Linked DNA regions of Mus musculus. The main gene of each other region encodes a partner of the protein of the gene in region 2 in a complex. Links are inferred from orthologs where the notes say so. Each region holds a gene or a part of one and is shown on either strand. Other genes may lie near its edges.

The links. The genes of interacting proteins can lie anywhere in the genome.
Region 1: Gtf2f1 (region 2) and Polr2d share a complex: the UniProt entries of both Homo sapiens proteins name them as parts of the TBP-based Pol II pre-initiation complex. The link is inferred for Mus musculus from reciprocal best matches to the Homo sapiens genes GTF2F1 and POLR2D.

What each region holds. Positions count from the first base shown.
Region 1 is NC_000084.6:31,794,615-31,797,225, reverse strand, and holds the end of Polr2d (DNA-directed RNA polymerase II subunit RPB4), read right to left. Parts: intron 1,939-2,611; coding exon 1,843-1,938; intron 1,177-1,842; coding exon 1,098-1,176; 3' UTR 517-1,097; downstream 1-516. UniProt on the Homo sapiens protein: Core component of RNA polymerase II (Pol II), a DNA-dependent RNA polymerase which synthesizes mRNA precursors and many functional non-coding RNAs using the four ribonucleoside triphosphates as substrates.
Region 2 is NC_000083.6:57,008,465-57,012,487, reverse strand, and holds the start of Gtf2f1 (general transcription factor IIF subunit 1), read left to right. Parts: upstream 1-1,199; 5' UTR 1,200-1,367; coding exon 1,368-1,379; intron 1,380-1,465; coding exon 1,466-1,512; intron 1,513-2,727; coding exon 2,728-2,800; intron 2,801-4,023. UniProt on the Homo sapiens protein: TFIIF is a general transcription initiation factor that binds to RNA polymerase II and helps to recruit it to the initiation complex in collaboration with TFIIB. It promotes transcription elongation.

The sequences.
Region 1 (2,611 bases), on a different chromosome or scaffold from region 2:
GGCAGGCAGAGTGGTGGCAAAGTTCTTTTAGTCAACTGTCTCTCACTCTTTAAACATTGCAGGGTGGCTGGGGACTGGCTCAGTGAATAAGGGTATGTGCTATGCATGAAGACCTGAGTCTGTCCATTAGCACTACCGTTAGTGAAAAGACTGCTGTGTTCCCACTGTACATGCCTTGAACCCCAAGGTACAAGCAAAAAGAGAAAGTGAAGACAGGATTGTTGGGGCTTTTGGTCATCCAGCCTAGATATAGGTTCAGTGAGACAGAGCCCATTTCAAAGGACAGAAATATGGGTATACACCCAATGTCCTCTGCTAGTCTCCTTACATAGATGCACACACTTGCACATACATATGTACAACACACAAACAAACAAAAGCAACTTCTGGGCTAGAGTGTTGCTCAATGGTACAGCACTTTTCTAGTATGTACAAGACTTTGGACAGAACTGACTCCTGCCCCCCACACATGTGCCATGGATCATGTACCCTCTCCCCATTAACAAATAAATACAATTCTTTTAAAAAAAAACAGTGTTCTGGTTTATTTCTCCCCTTTACAACCAAGTGAAAACACTCCTCTCCTATGCAAGTTTTTTATATATCATTTTAGCTTCAAAAACTACAAAATAATTGACATTAAAATCTGAAGTGTCAAGAACAAAAAAATAGTAACATGGGGTCCAAAAAAACCACGGTACGAAGTAGTCAACGAATGTTTGAACATCATTCTACCTCAGCAGTTCAGGATGGCAGCCTGCCTGACCACAGCAGCCTTAAAAGGCTGCAAGGAGCGCAGATGGTAGTTATGGTCTAACAGTCACTGTGAAGATAGCACCTACAGCATCAATAGCCAGCCTTTCTTTCCTCTCCAGAAGCCAAGCTGAAAGTGTTGGCTCACACCTGTAATCCCAGCACCTGCGAGGCTGAGGCAGGAGGACTGTTATGACTTTGAGAACTGGAGAGACACTCTCTCGCAGTGAAGCAAAAACTACGAAAGAAGCTCCAGCGTCTTCTGAAGCAATGTTCCTGCATGAGGCCTCCCCAGGCTTCAGACCGTGGTGCTGTAACTCAAGGAGCAGAGTGACGTCTGCGGATCAGTACTGGAAGCTGCGCTTCGTCTGGATGTCATCGAGAATCTGCTGCAGCTCCTCATCTTCAAAACGCCCTTCCAGGCTGTAAGAAAACCAAGAAATGTAAGTGACTTGGCCGCTGGAGGTTTCCCCAGTCTGTCAAAGGAGGCTCATCTCCGAGCAGCTCGCTTAGCTCTACTGCCTCGAAGTTTAAACTGAATGGTTTTTGACATTCCTTTATATAAGCACTAAAAAGTTGTAAATAGAAAAAAGATTTTTAAAAGCTTCAACAGTCACACATGATGTAAATTTAATTTTGTTTTGTTTTGTTTTTTTCGAGACAGGGTTTCTCTGTGTAGCCTGGCTGGCTGTCCTGGAACTCACTCTGTAGACCAGGCTGGCCTCAAACTCAGAAATCCGCCTGCCTCTGCCTCCCGAGTGCTGGGATTAAAGGCGTGCGCCACCACTGCCCAGCAACTCAAACTATTCTTAAGCCAGCATGACCATTTACACCTGTAATCCCAGCCCTTGACAGGTGAAAGCAAGACAATCAAGATGTTCAAGGAAAGCCTTGGTTACCTGAGACTACCACCAACAAACCACAAAACCAATCCCCAAATCCTATCTCAAACACCATTCAACTACATTCCTATTCAATGCTGCCATGTCATTAACCCAAATATTAAATGCATACAACTTTTAGTTCTAGCAATTTGACTTATAGAAATCTATAGAAAATAGACAGAAATCTATCCCATCCGGTACTAACCTTGGAATCAGAGCTTTGGACTCTTCAGCAGTCTCCGGGCAAAGATTGGCTAAACAGGCCAACTCAAACTTATGTAACTTTTTCTGGAGAAGCAAGCTGATTGTAGCGGAAAATAAAAACACAGAAAGACTGTGATGAAGTGAGCAGTAATGGGGGGAAATAAGTATGATCAAAATATATACTTGAATAAAAATGTCACAGTGGGACCCATTACTATGTGTAGTTATATGCTAATAAAAAACAAAAATTAGGCCGGGCGTGGTATTGCACGCCTTTAATCCCAGCACTTGGGAGGCAGAGGCAGGTGGATTTCTCAGTTTGAGGCCAGCCTGGTCTACAAAGTGAGTTCCAGGACGGCCAGGGCTACGCAGAGAAACCCTGTCTCAAAAAACAAAAAAAATTATGTTCTCATTCAGTGTCGGTCAAATGCTAATCATTCATCAATAGCAAAAAGGAGATTGTAATATTTGATTATGGTTATGTGGGCATCAGAATCCTCCTTTGAAGTCACTTCCTGTTCCTACCCCAGAAAATCAACAAGTTCCAGAAAAAAACAAAAAACAAAACAAAAACAAAAACAAAAAAACAAATGAAAAACAGCAGGCAGAGCCAAGAACCCTGAAAAGAGCCCAGCAGGGTAAGGCGGCATATACACGCTGCATTGGAGAGGGAACTCGGGAGTTAAGTGATGCTCTTTTTAGAGGTCACAGGTTGAGTTCACAGTACCCACACGATGGCTCACAACAGTTTGAAATTCCAGATCCAAAGG
Region 2 (4,023 bases):
CTCCATGAAGTGCCTTAGTGACTCCATCACCCCATTTTACAGATAAAGAAGAGGGCCCTCAAACTCACCCAGTAGCACCCTGCTCCGCCCACCATGCGGTCCTTTCTATGCTGCCTGCTTGTGCCTCTAGTCACACAACCTCTGAGTTGGGATAAGACCTCTCTGCCCTTTCCTCTCCTCCGCAGTCAGCCCTCGTTCTTTGTCCCTTTCAGTTCACTTTGGTCTTCCTAGCCAGCCTCTGTAACTTAAGGCGCACTCCCTGAAGGCGGAGAAATGAATGCCTCCCCTACTAGACACATCTGTGGAGTCAGTTGTTTATGCAAAGACAGTCATGGAATCAGCCTATCTCATTCCTCTCAAGTTCAATGCCTGTGCCTCCCTTGCCCCTCTGCTTAACCAACTCCTTTGCATCCCGTAGGCTCCCTTTCTCTGATTTGTCCCCAGAGAATAGTACTTTCCATTTCCGACACTGGCTCCTCTACTCAAGTTATATGCCAAAGGCATCAACCAACAGTGAGGTGGGAGCATGCGCAGATGCGTTCCTTCCGTGCAGGGGTTGGTGTACACCCCCAGGTAGTGGGGATACTTGCCCATCTCCCCCTTTCGTTGGCCCATGTAAACCAACCACCCCACGTCGTTACCCTTCTCCTGGGGCCTCAAAGCTCTGCCCAGCTGGGGCAGCGTGGACTCGCACAGACCCATCCCGCCCGCAATGCCGGGGTACGCTGGGGCCCTGTCTCCACCCTGCACCGAGTCCCCGGCTCCGCTCTACGTCACAAGGGACTCATTTTGCAAGATCCTCGGGATCCCCATATCCCAGGACACAGAAAACTGAACCTCAGACCCGCCCCAGAAGAGCCGAAGAAGCCACCCCACAGAGTGGGCCTCGGTTGCCATGGCAACTCGGCCTCCGTTCCCGCTTCTTGGACACATTTACGCTTGCGCAAGAGGATCGAGTTCGCGTCTACCAGGAGACTCCATTTCCACCCTACCCAGGATGCTCCGCGGTGCCTGCGTCGTGACGTCACGACGGGCGTGTCTACACGTGACTTTTCCGTGGTATATAAACAGAGAACGCCGCCAAAAGGTGGCTTTCTCTCCGAAGCTGGTGATCTAGAGTAGTTACAGCGGCTGCGCTCTTCTCGGTGTGGCAGCTCAACTTCCGGGTCAGGCTCTAACGCATGCGCAGAGAGTTAGGTCTCTTTTTCTCGTCTTCCAGCATTCTCCGAGACTTAAGGATTTGGAAATCCAAAGCACAGCATCACACTAACGTGACAACCAGGAAAGGTGCCTTCCCTTTCCTGGAGCCGAGGGACACAACGAAGTTCATCCCGTCAGGCCGACCGGGAGCAGCTTGAGCAACGGCCATGGCGGCTCTAGTGAGTATGAATGAGGTGGGGACAGAGGTGTCGCAGAACAGACCCCGCGCCCTCTCCTCGCCTTACAGACCCCTGCTCTCTTGCAGGGCTCCAGCAGCCAGAATGTCACCGAGTACGTCGTCCGAGTCCCCAAGTAAGTCCCCGTCCACCCACACTCCAGAACCTCGGCCCTGTGTTCCCCTGCCACCCCGTCCAAGACACAGTAACAGTTACCCCTTGGTAGTTAATGTCAGGGGTCGGTGACTTTGCCCTGAGTCAGACGGGTCAGGTCAGACATGGTGACTGCCTTTAATCTCAGCACTTGGGAAGCAGATGTAAGAGAATTTCTGTGAGTTCGCAGCCAGCCAGGTCTGTATAGTGAGTTCCAGGACAGCCAGGGCTACATAGTCGGGTCCTGTCCCAAAATAAAAGAAAACCCCAAACTGGTCACAGGTGGTATACATCCTGTTTTTTTGTGCCAAGTGCCATGTCCCTCAACTTCTAACTTTATTTTAGGTGGGTACATGCTAGGCAAGTACTCCACCACCGAGCCACACCCAGCCCCCTCTTAAGTTTTGTTTATTTTGAAGACAAGAGTCTTACTGTGTAGTTCAGATGGTTTGATCAGGCTGGCTTTGAACCCACTCAGATCCATTAAGACCCTTGCCTGCCTGCCCTTCTTTCTACATAGGGGTCCTCCGCACTTTTGGTTCCTTTTTTCTTTTTTTCTCTTTTGGTTTTTCGAGACAGGGTTTCTCTGTGTAGCCCTGGCTGTCCTGGAACTCACCTTGTAGACCAGGCTGGCCTCGAACTCAGAAATCCACCTGCCTCTGCCTCCCAAGTGCTGGGATTAAAGGCATGTGCCAACTCTGCCTGGTGGTCCCTTTGTTTCTTGAAGATTTAATTTATTATCTATGTGTATGAATGTTCTCTCTTGTCTCTCCTCTCTCACTCTCGCTCTTGCTCTCGCTCTCACTCTTTCTGTATGTGATGCTGTAAGAGAGCCTAGTGTCTGTGGATCTTTATCTGATGGGGTTGGGTTGGATGAGATGGATCTTGATTCTTTAAAACAAAACAAAACAAAACCCCTGAAAAACTAGAGCGTGGTTCTCAACTTGCAGGTTGCCTAAGACCATCGGAAAACACAGATATTTACATGACCATTTATAGCTTACAGTTGTGAACTAAACAAAAATAATTTTATGATTGGGTCACCGCAGCATGAGGAGATGTATTAGAGGGTCAGAGCTTTAGAACCATTGCTCTGGAGTCTTTTATGAGTTCCCAGAATTACCTACAACCAAGGGTGTAAAGCATAGATTTGTTGAATGAATAATCAATAGATTGAATAGTTTCTTGCCCATTCCAGGAACACAGCCAAAAGATACAACATAATGGCTTTTAATGCAGCCGATAAAGTCAACTTTGCTACCTGGAACCAGGTAAGTGGGTGATTCTGGGTGGCTGGGGCAGGGACCTAACCCTGGGCTGGTGACTATGTATAGTAATAACTTTACTGAAACGATGGTGCCCACACCTGTGGCTCCAGCAGATTTGTGATTCCAGCCATTTGGTGGCTGAGGCAGAAAGACTGAGTGTTTTAGACCAGCTTGTGCTACATAAATCCTAGCTCCAAAGAAAAGAAGTGCAAAGCAAAGCAAAGCATGTCAGAGGATGTGGTTCAGTCAGTAGAGCACGAATCTAGCATATATGAGGCCAAGCTGGATCCCCAGCGCCATGTATACTAGCCATGGTGGCACACGCCTGTCATCCCAGCACGGGAAGGGGGTAGGACCTCAAACTGAAGATGATCCTTGCCTGCACAGTAAAGCCCACGATACATATAGACGGTGTCTTTTTTTTTTTTTTTAATGGTTTTTCAAGACGGGGTTTCTCTGTGTAGCCCTGGCTGTCCTGAAACTCACTTTGTAGATCAGGCTGGCCTCCAACTCAGAAATCCACCTGCCTCTGCCTCCCAAGTGTTGGGATTAAAGGTGTGCGCCACCACTTGCCAGCCACAGACCATGTCTTAAAAAAGTAAAGTAGTGGGTAGCAAGATAACTCAGTGAGCAAAGAGGTGGCTCCAAGTGTGTCCTTGGATCTCATACAGGCAATGTCATGTACAACCTCCACAAAAAGAAATACACTTTAAAAGTTTGGGGTTTTTGTTTTTAAGAAAAAGCCAGCTGGCCGTAGTGGCACATACCTTTACTGCCAGTTCGAAAGCAGCAGAGTCAGTGGATCTCAGACTTCAAGGCCAGCCTGGTCTGCATGGTGAATTTCACTGTAGTGAGACCCTGTCTCAAAAGGATAAAATGATTCCACAAGATGGGTATAGCCAGAGATACTACTATCCCAGCACCAGGGAGGTAGAGGCAGGAGGATCATAAGTTTGAAGCCAGCCTGGGCTACATAACAGGACTTTCTAGATAATACTAAGAATAAAAAAAAAATGTTAAAGGCCAAAGTTTTAAACTATCCACTCTTTTGGGTGCCATGTTAAAATGTCACTATCTTCATATTGTTGAGGTTGCTCCTGGGCCTTCCTCAGGTGGTCACTATACATCTTTAGTCTCTGTACTCCATGATCTCATGAACCAGTCTGCTTTACTGTTATTGTAGTAAGTCCCACATTCCCTGTGACCAGAGTATTCTGTGTGTGTGA